Neurospora crassa OR74A: one gene and its partner. The protein of the gene in region 2 interacts with the protein of the main gene of each other region in a biochemical or structural test. Links are inferred from orthologs where the notes say so. Each region holds a gene or a part of one and is shown on either strand. Other genes may lie near its edges.

The links. The genes of interacting proteins can lie anywhere in the genome.
Region 1: the proteins of NCU10073 (region 2) and NCU08008 form a complex in vitro, tested with the Saccharomyces cerevisiae proteins (4 studies listed by BioGRID, with this or other methods). The link is inferred for Neurospora crassa OR74A from reciprocal best matches to the Saccharomyces cerevisiae genes ABP1 and SRV2.

What each region holds. Positions count from the first base shown.
Region 1 is NC_026504.1:3,896,168-3,903,658, reverse strand, and holds NCU08008 (adenylyl cyclase-associated protein), read right to left. Parts: upstream 5,101-7,491; 5' UTR 4,831-5,100; intron 4,681-4,830; 5' UTR 4,578-4,680; coding exon 4,534-4,577; intron 4,271-4,533; coding exon 4,021-4,270; intron 3,953-4,020; coding exon 3,119-3,952; intron 3,062-3,118; coding exon 2,621-3,061; 3' UTR 2,176-2,620; downstream 1-2,175. Other genes in the region: NCU08009 (DNA replication licensing factor mcm3), read left to right, coding at 1-2,068, 2,142-2,175; NCU08007 (PfkB family carbohydrate kinase), read left to right, coding at 5,989-7,470. UniProt on the Saccharomyces cerevisiae protein: The N-terminal domain binds to adenylyl cyclase, thereby enabling adenylyl cyclase to be activated by upstream regulatory signals, such as Ras. The C-terminal domain is required for normal cellular morphology and growth control.
Region 2 is NC_026501.1:4,039,295-4,046,661, forward strand, and holds NCU10073 (actin binding protein), read right to left. Parts: upstream 3,931-7,367; 5' UTR 3,693-3,930; coding exon 3,497-3,692; intron 3,423-3,496; coding exon 1,326-3,422; intron 1,251-1,325; coding exon 1,126-1,250; 3' UTR 967-1,125; intron 905-966; 3' UTR 885-904; downstream 1-884. UniProt on the Saccharomyces cerevisiae protein: Regulates ARP2/3 complex-mediated actin assembly. Recruits ARP2/3 complex to sides of preexisting actin filaments, which may promote nucleation or stabilization of filament branches. Binds to actin filaments, but not actin monomers.

The sequences.
Region 1 (7,491 bases), on a different chromosome or scaffold from region 2:
GGACGTTGGGTAACAGAAACACAAACCACAATAGCGCCCTGTTCAAGACGGTCATTCTGGCCAACAACATCGTCCTGCTGTCCTCCAAGTCGGGTGGTGGTGTGGCTACAGCTACCATTACCGACACCGATATTCGCAATATCAACAAGATTTCCAAGAAGCCAAAAGTTTTCGAGTTGCTTTCACAGTCACTGGCTCCCAGTATCTACGGACATGACTACATCAAGAAGGCTATCCTGCTTATGCTGCTGGGCGGCATGGAGAAGAACCTGGAGAACGGTACACATTTGAGAGGTGACATCAACATCCTGATGGTCGGTGATCCTTCCACCGCCAAGTCGCAGCTCCTTCGTTTCGTCCTCAACACTGCTCCATTGGCTATTGCCACGACTGGTCGTGGTTCTTCCGGTGTTGGTTTGACTGCTGCTGTCACATCCGATAAGGAGACTGGCGAGCGTCGTCTGGAGGCTGGTGCCATGGTTATGGCTGACCGTGGCGTCGTCTGTATTGATGAGTTCGACAAGATGTCAGACATCGATCGTGTTGCCATCCACGAAGTCATGGAACAGCAAACTGTTACCATTGCCAAGGCCGGTATTCACACCTCCCTTAACGCCCGTTGCAGTGTTATCGCCGCGGCCAACCCTATCTTTGGACAGTACGACACCCACAAGGATCCTCACAAGAACATCGCCTTGCCCGACTCCCTCCTGTCGCGTTTCGATCTTCTCTTCGTAGTCACCGACGACATCGAGGACACCCGTGACCGACAGGTATCCGAGCACGTCCTTCGCATGCACCGCTACCGCCAACCCGGCACCGAGGAGGGTGCTCCTGTGCGCGAGAACGCCGGTCAGGCCCTCAACGTCGCCCTCAACGGGCAATCCGAGTCCCAAAAGCCCACCGAGATGTGGGAGAAGTACGACGCCATGCTGCATGCCGGAATCAAGGTGCCCAGCGGCCGCGGGTCTGCCAACAAGAAGCCCGAGATCCTCAGTATCCCCTTCATGAAGAAGTATATTCAATACGCCAAAACGCGCATCAAGCCGGTACTGACGCAGGAGGCTTCCGACCGCATTGCTGACATCTACGTGGGCCTGCGCAACGACGACATGGAGGGCAACCAGCGCAAGACGTCGCCCATGACGGTCCGTACGCTCGAGACGCTCATCCGTCTGGCCACCGCCCACGCCAAGGCACGCCTGTCCAACCGCGTCGAGGAGCGTGACGCCGCCGCTGCCGAGTCCATCCTCCGCTTTGCCCTTTTCAAGGAGGTGGTCCAGGACGAGTCGCGCAAGAAGCGCAGAAAGACCCGACCCGCCGAGGGCGAGGATGGCATGTCCTCCGACTCTGACGACTCTGATGACGATGACGACGACGTGGCAACTCAAACCACCACAGCCCGCTCCAGCGCTGCCAGAGCTTCTCGCGCTTCCCGCGCTTCCCAACGCGCCAGCCGACGCACTCCCGCCAATGGCGCTTCCTCCTCCTCCGCAGCAAACGCCAACGGCACTCCCAGAGAGGAAGAAGAAACCCAAGGAGCAGAAGAAGAGGAAGAAGACATCTACGACGCCACCCCGCGCCGCTCAACAAGATCTGCTCGCACAACCGGCGACTCACAACCATCCTTCGCCTCTTCCCTTCCCGCCTCGCAACTTCGCTCCACTCGCTCCCAACGATCATCTCGTCGCACCGCTCAGAACCAAGACGACGAAGAAGAACTCGCCTCCGGAGCCGCCAACCTCAACGTCGACGAAGACGAAGACGAAGAAATGGACGTTGACGGCGAAGCCGCCCCAGAAAACCAAGAAGAGGAAGAGGAGGAAGAAGAGGAAGAAGAAGATGAGGAGCCAGCACCAATAAGCGAGCACCGTCTTGACGTTTTCCGTCGGGCGCTCGGTCCGTTGTTGAACTCGGGACTTTTCGAGGACGACGCTGCGGATGTGGATGAGCTGATCAAGGCTGTTAATGAGAAGATTCCCGGAGGCAGGAGAGGCGGTGAACAAAAGTTTGAGAAGGAGGAGGCGCTGCAGGCGTTGAGGGAGATGACGGAACGGAATCAGTTGATGTGAGTTACCCTTCGCTTGATATTGTGAGGTGTGATGATGTCGAGGAATGATGCTAACGCTGTTTGATGATAGGTATACCGATGGTCAGCTAGTGTACAAAATCTAGTCTGGTGGACTGGAAAGGTTAAAAAACCGAATTGATGCTGTGTCTAGGAAACAGGTAGAGATGATTTTAGGTGGGTCATAGATATGGATGAGAAAAGTACTACGGCGGAAATGGTCTAGACAGAGAGACATGCCATAAACAGCCAAGTTTTGTCATTGATAGGCAAAGGTGTTCGGCGTTTTTTTCAATTGAAATAGGAACGTCATGAGATGATATGGTTCTTGAAAATGATGATGGGTACTGTCGAGTTGGCATACCTGCGGGATTGAAGATGATTTCACGCCCGCTTCAGAACATGCCATCCACGAATATTCAAATCAAGGCGTGCTATTATGTAAATTGGAGAATATGTGACAACAACGCTCACGATCAGAACCAAACGCCACCTCGCATCAAGCTACTCACTTTTTCCGACAATCTCGACGAAGCAGCGACCAAATATGAATTAACCACAGTGAGAAACGATCTCGCTGATAAGCTCCTTCTTCTCGGGATCGTAATACGAGCAGATTTGGGAAGGAAGAGGAAGCTCCTTGGAGTCGTCGTTCTCGTCCACAACCATGATATTGACGTTGTCCGTCTTGCTCTGGAACACCCTTGTCGAGATGCTCTCCTTGCTCAGCCAGATTGTGGCTTGCTCGACTTGATCCAAAAGCACAGTGGGGATCGTCTCGTTGACTTGGAGCTGGAAGTTCTTGGACCTGACAACGTCGACAGTAGAAACAAGAGTGTCCACAATAAGCGACACCTTGTCGCAGTTGTCAATGTTGACAGCGTTGGCCTTGCCCTTGACGACGATGACGACTTCATTACACCTGCTGATGAGGATGGACTGGGAAATGGAGGCCTCGATCTCAACGTTGCCAGCGGCAGCATCGTAGTTTTCCTAAAGCACTGTCAAAAACCTTGAATTTACACCACAATGTCCGGCTGGAGAACTTACAATAATCCACTTGTTGCCCTCGAGAGCCTTCTTTGCAGGTTTCTTCGCACGCATACTCTCAGGCTTGGGCGGCTTGGTTCCAGGCGGCGCAGGGCTCTTGGACCGTGCCGCTGGTCCGTCGGGAACGGTTGATCCTGCCCTGAGGGAAGGGTTCTTGTGTGTCATCTGCGACTTGTCGACCTTCTTGAGACCCTTTGTAACTGCTTCGCCCTTGTTGAGCTCAGACATGACGGAACTGAAACCACCCGGTTGGGCCGGTTCCGCCTTCTGCTCATTAATCTTGAGTACCGGAGGAGGTCCAGGAGGAGGAGGTGGCGGAGGAGGAGCTCCTCCGGACGGGGCTGGAGACGCGGCAGGTGCCGAGGGAGCGCTGCCGGATTCAAGACACTGGACGACCTCCTTGTAAGGCTTGCCGTTAGGGTTCCACACAATGCCGTTGTTGTAGTAATCCTTGGCATATTCCGACAAGTCTTTGAAGATCTGGTAGAAGGTCTTGACCCATTCTGTATGCTGGGGATCAGTGTTTTTGTTTGCCTGCATGACTCTGTTGCCCAGGTATTCGGCAGATGACAGGCTTTCATCAATGAGCTTGTCAGGCCTAGACTGAACAGTGATCCAAGCGAGGAGCATGATTCCATCGGCCACCATGCCGAGGTGGTTGAAGAAGGGAGAACCGCGGTTCTTGTCCTTGATTTCCTGAGTGGCCTGGATGGCCTCGCTGATAGGCTTGATAGCCTCCTGGAAATCGACCGAGTTCATGTCGAGCTTCTTGGACTGGGAGGCGGCGAGTAGGAACTTGCGCGTCTCGGCAAATCCCTTGAGGACACTCGCAGCCTGATAAAAATGGTCAGCTTCCCGCTCTCTGCCCACAAAATAGATCCAGAACTGTGCAGGATAGGTACCTGCTCAGCAACCAAGCCACCGATAAGATTGCTGGTCTTAACATATTTCTGAACAGTTTGGTTCAAGAAGTCGTCGAACTTTTCGACAGATTCGGGAATTGGTACTGCGGCAGCGGGTGCAGGAGTGGACACAGCAGTGGACGCGGGGGCGGAGGGGGCGGAGGAAGCCGGCTCAATGACGGCCTGGGAGCCAATAGGGGGGATGGTGGACGAAGCCATATCCTCCAGACGGAGGGTGGCCGCCTCAAGTCTGCGCAAGTACTTAGCAACGTGCCTTGACCATTATTCACTCGTAGTCTTTTTTTTTTCTTTCTCGCTTTGCGCCGATTTTTCTGGCGCATTCCTTGCTCGGGGACTGGATCTTCGTCGTCCTAGCCTCAGAGCGGCTCCCATGGAATCGGCATGGCTAAGAATGCGCCAGGTAAAATAATGGGCAATGCGGGTGTTGTAGAAGAAAGCAACTATTCGTAGGTGTGGCGATATCAAGTTGCGGTAAAGAAAGCTGAAGCGTACCTCTTGATCAAGGTGACCAAGTTGTGCATATTGTTGGTCGCCATTGTGATTATGATGGTCCCTTAGGCGGGACTTTGGAAACGTAGTAGGCTTCGCGGTCGAGTAATATAGAAGTTGGAAGGAGCAAGGTGTACTCTGTGATTAGAACTGTCGGTGCCAGCTTGCGGTATTAGCGATCCTGCCTTGATGATGATGTGAAGAGAGTGCCGTGGGCAGACCCGGATACCTCCGGTGGAAGAGAGCTCGTTGAAACAGAGGGAAGGTATCGTCCTGAATATCTTGATGAGAAGCACTTACCCTTTTCGCTGAACCGTATAATTTACAAGGAATAAGAAGATATCGCTAGATGGAGAAAGAGGAAGAAAAGAGTCCCGAAACTTGCACAAGGAGGAGGTCTGGGAAGGTGTAGTTAGGTGCCCCAAGATCTGCTGTGCTGGAACATGGGATGTCTGAAGGTTGACGGTCCGGGCTGACAACTCGTCGATTGGAACCCCTCGTCACACAACCCCTACCTAGCACGGGCATCTGCCCCTGGCGCCTGCCATGCTTGTACACTGCCTACGGGCGGCCACAGTGTACGGGGCACACCTTCTGTAGACGCAGCACGCTAGGTGATGAGCTGCTTCCCCACGATAGCTTCATAGTGGGGTCATGGTGGGTCGTCTCATCCATCGTTTAAAATTACGCGTTTCGGGACATCCTCCAACAAGAAAGAACGAACACCTTGCTGGCCGCTCTCACGACTCTGCAGTAGACTAGAGTGCACGGCCACCAAAAGCCCGCTGGGCGTACAGGCACCATCCACGCCTCATATCCACATATGAGTTACCACCTCACCAAGCATACCTAAACAAAAACAACAAGTCACATCGTGCTACTGCAACCGGATCAACAACAAGCACTCTCCCCGTTCAGAAGCTCGCTGCTTGTTTAGCTGTGTATATACGAGAACGGTAATGCTGATGCTGATGCTGAAGACTTGACATGAGTAGGTCTGCACAAGCAGTCATTTAAAGTGTCGAGGATCGAGATGACAGGATCGATCCCATAACCTCCCGTCCCGCGGGTCCGTCCCCTTTCTCCATTCCTACGCCTCGCAGTAAAAAACCTACCCCAGATAGCTGATTCTAGCTAATAAGACGTTGAGTTATCAAAACATCAGGCTCTTTATGCTTTATGCCGCCTGATGGTCAGGCAGAAATAGCAGACTAGCAATAGAGGTAGCCTAGCCAGTAGCCACATCAATATCTACATACGCGTCCATCTTTCCAAATAGGTCTTCATCCCTCCATCGGTGTCTCACTCTCATAACCCCTTTCAGTGTCACTCACTTACATAGCCCACACCCACCTGTTGTCTATCATCGCCTGGCCGTTGCCGCGTCGTACTCGCATACACTCCTTTCAAGCGTCCACTACAATTGATTGATCCTACACAGTCACCACAGAGAACAATATGACAGACAATAACGGCAACCCGGAAGTGCCCGGCCAAAGTCCAGACGATGTTGACAAAGCCTCGGATGAGAGCTCAGAATGGCAAGATATCAACGACACTCCCTCAATAATAGACTTTGTCACCCTCGGCATGTTCATCATCGGTAAGTGCCCAGGAACCACAATCAGGCACCAACTAAGCACCCCATCAGATGAAATCGAATACCCTCCGCCCCGTCCTCCATCAACCAACGTCTTAGGAGGCGCCGGCTCCTACTCCGCCCTCGGCGCCCGCCTCTTCTCTCCAGCTCCGGACCTCTCCCGCACCGTGGGCTGGATCGTCGATCAGGGCTCCGACTTCCCCCAGGCCATCACCGATCTCATCACCGGCTGGTCCACCTCGGCCGTCTTCCGCCATGACCCCACCCGGCTCACCACCCGCGGCTGGAACGGCTACGTCGGCTCCTCGGAGCGCCGCGAATTCAAGTACACCACTCCCAAGAAACGACTGACGGCCGCCGACCTGGTCGGAACCCCCTTGTTGAAGGCTAAAGCCGTGCACATGGTCTGCAGTCCCAACCGCTGCAAAGAGTTGGTGGAGGAGATCATCACCCTTCGCAAGCGCGAAGCCCGACTTGCTGCTGCTGCCGCCTCCAACAAGAACAACAACAATAACGACAACGACGACGATTGCGACGATGTTGATGACGACACCAACGACCCCAACGCCTACACCCGCCCCTTAATCATCTGGGAACCAGTCCCCGATCTCTGCACCCCCTTCGAGTTACTAAACTGCACCAACGCCCTCCCACTGGTCGACATCTGCAGCCCCAACCACGCCGAGCTAGCCGGGTTCATGGGCACCGACGGCCTCGACCCGGAAACGGGCGAGATCAGCGTCGAGCAAGTAGAGCGCAACTGCGAACAGCTGCTGGCCAGCATGCCGCTGACGACGTACACGCTGGTGGTCAGGGCCGGGGAGAAGGGCTGCTATGTTGCCAAGAATGGGGGGCGAAGGAGGAAACAGCCACCTATGAAAAGGGGAAAGAAGAAGAAGATGAAGGTAGGGCTGGACGCCCGAAACTTCCACGGCGGTCTACAGCACGACACAGACATGATGTCTCTCTTTGCCGGACTTTTGCAAGATATGGAAGACCGGAACAACGAGGATGACCCGTTCGGTCGTTTCGATGTCGAGGAGGGGATCGAGGTCGATTCGGGGATCGAGAGGTGGCTGCCCGCTTACCACACGGACGCCACAAAGGTCGTCGATCCCACGGGAGGTGGGAACACGTTCCTGGGTGGGTTGGCGGTGGCGTTGGCGAGGGGAAAGAGCATCGAGGAGGCGTGTGCGTGGGGCAGCGTGGCAGCAAGTTTTGCCATTGAGCAGGTGGGAGTACCGGAGCTGGGGATGGATGTGGAGGGGAGAGAGACGTGGAATGGGGAGAGGGTGGAGGAGAGGTTGAGTGGGTATCTGGAGAGGGTCGGATTGTTGTGAGAGCTTTTTGTGATGTTGATG
Region 2 (7,367 bases):
ACGTGCCTGGGTACGTACTTGGGTATGCTAGAGCTTCTAATAGTATTAAGTATAATAGTAGTTATACCTAATCTACTTTAGTTAATTAAATCTAATTATATATACAATACTTCCAATATTATTTATATTAAATATTACCCTACAACCTTATTTATTAACAAACCTTAAATATTTAATATTCTTTTTAGTACTAATATTCCTTATAGTATTTATTTCACTAATTTATTACCCCTATATATACTTAATTTAATTAATTTATTTAATAAACTGTATTCGATATTAGTTTGCTCGGGCTTTTATTTTAATACTTTACTTATTACTTACTTTCTTTCTTGTAACTACCTCCCTGCTAATTAGGAGTAAAATGATCTTTCGTTGGGATTTAAATATTCCGATTTAAATATATAGTATATAAATAAGAACAAGGAAAAGGAGCAGGAGGATTTTAATACTTGCTAGTTTTATTATAAATATAACTAGTAAAGAATTGAATATTGAATTATTAAACTAGAGGCTCTATTTAGGTAATTGTACGTTTTATACACTTAACAATTTATACAAATATAAGTTAATAAATAAAGGTTATAATAAATAATGGAATGTTTTATATATATAGTTAAACTTAATAATATTATATATGTAGTAAATACTCTTATCCTTTTATTTAGGGGGAGATGTTATAGGGTATTCTTAATAAATATTCACATACTCTATTTTATTATAGTAGCCGTTTACTAGGGCGTATAGTTTATTATACAAGAGTATTTTATCCTCTTAACCTTTATTAAAGTTGATACATTATTAATTTATATTATACTAACCTTATATTTATATTGCTTATATTTAGTAAAGTTGTATACGAGGTTCTAAGTTGAGATTTGCGACAATTCTTATTTTTAATTTCCTTTAATAAGACTGTCGTCAATCGTTACGCACTATTACTCTATCTAGCAACCAGTTACTCACTCCATTATTCTCTGTTGTTATCACTTGTAAAGTATATCTTCGCGCAACAACCCTACTGTACATACTAGTTAAGTTTCAGCTGAAAATTATTAAACTAGACTACCGAATAAGCTGATTTTCCATTACCAGCACCGTGGATTTCGACACCTTTGCCTTCAATCATGCATTAAGCTCAACGTAGTTGGCGGGGAACAGACCTGACGCTCCACTGTAGTGGCCAAACCACCAGTCATCATCGGGAAACTCCAAACCCGTAATCGTGGCTCCTTCGGGGAAGCTCAACTCTGTACCGATTCGTTAGTCACTACTAGGCCTGGGTTTCGCGGCTGATATATGCGGGGCTTCCAAGCATCACTTACCATTATCTTCTGCTGCCTCGTAATCAAACTGCGCCGTCGCTGTTGGGCCAGCAACTTGATCGGCCGGAGTTGCAGGTGCTACCGCTTCGGCCTGCGCAGATGAAGGCACAACAGGGGCTTGAGTCGCCGCTACTGTTGGGGCTGCGCTGAAAGCAGCAGCAGGCTCATCGTCTTCCACGACTTCCACGTAGTTGCTAGGGAAAAGTCCACTCTCCCCTTGCGCATTGGTTCCCATCCACCAATCGTCATCCACCATCTGAATATTAGTGACATAGTCACCTTCCTGGAGATCAATCTCATTATCCTCGGCCTTCTCGTAGTCATATTGTACCAGAGCACGCTTGCCACCATCTGAACCAGCCTGCTGAACCTCGACACCCTGGCCAAGAGATTCGCTGGCAACATTCAGGGCAGCAGCACGCGGATCGTGGGTATCCTCCTCTACGGGGAGGTCCTCTTCTTTCGGTAGATCCTGCGATACGGGCACCGGACGGGGCGGCAGATTGCCAGCTGGCTCCACCTCAGGCACTGCGCTCCGAGCAATCGGGACTGCGATGCGAGCAGGGGACGAAGGCTCCTCTTCATGCTGGTCGGCCGGTTCGAGTGCACGGACTTCTTCTTCTAGCTGCCTTTCATCGTTCCCTTCCTCGTCGTCAGCAACAGAAGGCCGGGATGGCAGACCAGGAAGAGCAAAGCCACCGGAAGGACGGCTTCCGGTTGGCAGGGGCGGCGGAGTATGCCCTTCTTCACCAGTGGCCGGGCCGGGAGAAGGCACGCTTGGTGCTGACCGTGACCCCGTACGGACCGCCACAGGTGCCGTATCCTTGAATCTCTCGCGCAGCGCAGATATGCCGCCAGCCGGTGAGGCAGGTGCTTCAGGCTCATATTGCTCTTGCGAGGCGCTTCCTCCGGTTGCGTGTAATTCAAGACCTCGGCTGTAATTGGGTGCCTGCACAGGTGCCCAGCTCTTCCCCGCGTAACCGCTTTTCCATTCGCTGCCGCTCTTCTGGGCAGCAATAGGCGCAGCGGCGGGAGAGGGAGTGGACGCAAATGCAACTGCACCGCCTTGTTTGGCCTTCTTCTCGGCCCAGATTTGGGCCGGCGTCTTGCCTCCCTGATCCGCAAATGTTCTGCTGGCAGCCCCAATAGGAGTAGCGGTAGGAACTGCAGGCGAGCTGAAACCGAGAGGAGCCGGCGTGGGAGCTTTGGTGCCAGTAAATGCAGCGCTGCCTACAAATTTCTTGGCAACTTTGGGCTTGGGAAGTTCGGTCAAGCGTTCTGCTTGCGTAAATACAGCAGTCCTCTCTGCCAGACTCCTGGGCGTCTCCAATTCTTCCGGTTCAGTCGGACGTTGTTGCGCCTTTGCGCGAATGGCGGCAATATCAACCTTGCCCACCGGTTCATAGGCTCCCTTCACGGTTACAGGCCGATCATCATGGGTCTTCTTTGCTTGGGCGCGAAGAGCAGCAATATCAACCTTTCCGATAGGCTGATAACCACCCTTAACAATGTCTTCCGGCCGGTCATTTTGCTTCTGAGTTTCTTCGGAACGCGAGTCATCTTTGTTCTTTCTGAGTTCGGCAATGTTGACCTTGGTCGGCTGGTAGGCAGACGCGACCTTCTCCAGCTGGGTCCGCGTGACTGGCGGTGCGTCGACACCCCAGCCGTCGTCATCTTCGCCCCCGTGATTCCGGATCCGTGCGGCAACAATGGGGTTGAAAGAGCTGGCCGATGTAGAGGTAGTCGGGGTGAAAACGGGCTTCTTTGCAACGGGGGGCGGGGCAACGGCTGACGCGGGTGCCGAACCACCGGCGGTATATTTGGCGCCTGAAGCATCGGCAACCTTTTGCACAATAGACTCGGGAGAAAGGTCTCCGTCGGAGCGTGCTGTTATTTGAACATGGTAGCCGTGAAGAATCTTGGAGACGGCGGCCAAATGGCTGGTAAAGTACCCCTTTGTTCGCTCGGGAACACCACCGCCACACCAGGCAATCAAGACGTTCTTAGGAAGTCCACTGTTGGGGTCCTTGACTTTGACGAAGGCAAATTGAATGCGACCCTCGTTGAAGTCCTCGATCAGGTCGGAAAGCTCACCATCTGTGACGACTGATAATTAGTCGGGCCCATGGATATGGTGGGAAGGAGAAGTTGTGGGCCGGCATGGCACTCACCGCCAGTGCTCTCGACCTTCAGGATGCTCTCTTTTGCCCCAGAGTCTTGGAAGGCATTCAAAAGAGGCGCCTGGACGGAAAAAAGGGCCCAGTGTGCGTAGGTAGGAGATGCCGAAGATGGCGCAGGGCCGTTGATGACGCCCTGATAGCTGCTCTTAATGGAGGGCCCGTGGATGGACAGGTTTAAGGAGGCCATGGTGGGCGGAGTGGCCAGCTTTGTAGAGCGGGATGGATGGGTAAACGACGCGAAGGAGCTGGAGCGTTCAGCAATCGGAATATCGTGAATTGCTGATAGCTGCAGCAACGGCTACAGATTGTTGGTGATCTAGACGTCGGTCGGGTCGATATTGGAGGTCGAGAGCAAGATGAAGGTTCCGGTGTTTGGAGGCGCATGGACGGGACAAGTCGTTAGAGCTACGCAGCGCTGAAGTTAGGTACCCTTTAGGTACCTAGGTAGGTAAGTGGAAGTTGGGGTGGAGCTCCATCCGCGCACATATGTCAATACACTACTACACCTCTGCATAGCTTTGAAATGTTAGCGCGGTACAGCCAAGGCGCCAGCCAAGCCACTAATCCTATAGAAAACTAGGATTGTAATACAGCTAGGATTCTCATTTATTGTAATAGTAGTTAATAATATCTTCATCTGCCTTAATAACCTTTCTTATCCTCTCCAGCATTGAATAGGCTATAAAGGATTAGAGTAGTAATATCGTAAGGGATAGTTATTGCTTGTTATAGTAGAAATGATAACAATAAGAAAACGCTTCTACCGATTCCTAGAAATTTATATTACAGAGTTTTAGTACCTTACCCAAAATATTATTAAAAAGGTTATATTAAAATACTTCTTGCTGGTAGTTCTGCTAACTCTCTACTCATTTGCAAATTATTATACTTGTATTTTAGATTTATATATAGGTGTATATAACTAGGACTACTCGTTCTCTGCCCTCTTCTACTTTATAGGACCTTACTAGACTCGTATTTCTAAAGTAGGTACCTATAAATAATAAAACTATATAAGAAAAATACCTACTAGGGTTAGAGAGATAATTTATATTAAATATAATAAAATAATATGTATTTATAATCTAATAGTTATTTAAAAGTAAAAAGAGAATTAGAAAATAGTTAGAACAAAGTAATATACTTATCCATTAAGCTTTTTCTCTTTTACAATTTTCTATATATTAAAAAGTTGTTACTAGATATATACGATTAGCTGTAGATTAGAGTACTGGGCTAGTTAGACTACTTAATTGAGCTGTACCTAGCACTATAGCCGGAGTACGCTTGGTACTATAGTCGAGCGTATGGTAGCTAACTACTATTGGTAGGCGGGCCGGGAAGTAGGGAATCTACCCCTATAAACTAAGGTAAATCCTTATTCTAACTAGGGTCCTTATATAAAAGGATCCCTAGTTAGGCCGGCTGTTAATTGTAAAATTTCCTTCTATATTTCACTTTCTTACTATAAGGGGACAGTAGAGCGATATGTAGGTGCTGGCCTTATGTGTATATATTAAAGTTCTACGAAGAAAGAAAGGATAAAACACTACCCTCCGGGTCGCTCGAGTACTAGAGTTTAAATAGCCGTATATTCTAGTAGCTACCTTATAGCCTAAAAAACTGCTTTGAAACCGGAAACGCCGATTTCTAGTCGAGGAGTACTCTAAAATGAAAATTAATAACAGCAATCGACTTAGGAGGGTCGTTTACGTTCCTTACAATATCTTACGACGAATATAGCAATAGTATTGTATTGTCGTTGCCGATAGCTATTAATAGCAGTACTTGTAGATTTGAAAATAGTATCTACAACCCGCTTGCGGAAATCTCAATATATAACAATTCTAAAGCCGTACTTACTATAAAGACTTTAAATAAAATAAATAAAGATAATAAAATATTAAAGAAATTTATTGTTAAAGCGAATAAATTTGCGGACTATAATATTATTTCGACTAAGGACCGTCGTTAAATTCGAGAATTACTTCTTAAATTTATAAAGGTATACGTTAAAAAAAGTAGGTTTATATAACCCGAAGTTAGTAAAGTTAGAATCGATTAATTTATTATTAAGAAGGATTTTAATAATTTAAAGAAGGATATTTTAAAGGAAATTAAGAAAGGCGTTTAGGAAGTATTAAAGTATTGGGCCGATATTATAGTAAAAGTTAGCCCGAGTAAAATTAGTACTATCTTTTAATAATTATTTACTATTATTAAAAAATTTATCCCCTTTAACTTTGAGTAATAGTTTATTATTAAGGGAATAATAATTACTATTAAATTTATAAACTATTTAAAGAAAGATATGAAGACGACCCTAATTATTTATTTAAGTAAAAAGAAACTTAGCCTAATAATTTATATAGCTATTAGAATATTAATAATTAATAACTACATAATTATATTTAATAAATTTATATATATTTAGTACTAGTAAAATTAAATATAGATTAAAGATATTTTCGGCCCCAATATTTTTATTACTATAAATATTATAAGCGTATTGGTTTAGGGCGTACCCTAGGATAATATTAATAATTATACTATAATGGAAGTTATTTTAAATATAATAAAGGAGAGGAATTTAGAGGTATTTATTATTAGAGTTTAGTTATAGAAGAGAAGGGACGGAGAGAATAGAAGTTTATTCCTTATAGAAGTCGCTACTATATTAGCGGTGTACTTCCTTTAGAATAACCTCTTCCTTTAAAATAGCGGCGTATATTTATACAAATGATTCTAAACTTTAAATAATATTTAATAATACTTTAAATATTAAGGAATTGGATATATAATAAGATTCTACTATTAAATTAATATTTATACCTATTATAGCGAAGTTAAATATAAAGGAGATTATTTTAACGAAGTAAATTGTCTATTTAATAATAATAAATTACTTATTTATTATAAATTATATAGGAAGAAGGGGTATTATACGTATAATTATAAAGAATGCCCTATTTTCTAAAAGGTAATTATAAAAGCGTCCGTTGCGTATGTTGAAAGGCTACGGGCATTCGCCCCCTATAAGAACTTAACTGGAAAGGTATTAGAACCAATAATAGAGATTATAAATAAGGGTATTTTACTAAACGCCCCCCTTAGCTCTTGTACTATTATTACTTTAGAGAAATATATTGGAGGAGGTATAAAAAGGGGACGGTTAAAAAAATTAATTGGCCTATCCGCCCGGCTAAAGCCTATAACCTTATGAAATTTAATAGATAGATATTATATATATTTATAGAATATAGGGGAAAGTTGGTTATATAGTAGTAATAGTATTTATATAATTATAGCCCCCCTTAGGGAAGTAGTACCCTTATTTTCCGCCGAGGGATTAAAAGGAACCCTATCTTAGGGTAATTAATAGTTTAATTAAAAATATTTTATTAGAATATAGGGAAGTTGTATAAGAGGGGAAAATTTCTATTTAAATAAGAGGAGATTTATAATATTATAGTAATTTAAAAATTAGGTAAAAATTGTAATAGGGATATTTATTATCCTAGAAGCGGAAGGTATTTTAAGGTTAATTATTTAGAGAAGGGAAGGGCGGTAATATATATAAATAAAAAATAGAATTTAAAGGATTTAAATTCTTGAACTGGAAAGGATTAAACTATAATTATATTTAAAAATTTGAAGGATTTAATAACCGTCTATTCTATCTACTCTCCTATTCTTATATAGGGAACGCTAGAATATTAGTAAGGGTTATTACTCTTTAAATTTATTGAGGCTAGACTTCCGGCGGGAAATTTAATTACTATTAGGGATTTTAATTTCTATTATTTTAATTAGGATTTAAAGAATAAAATTAATTTAAGGGCTATCCGCTTCTTTATATAAG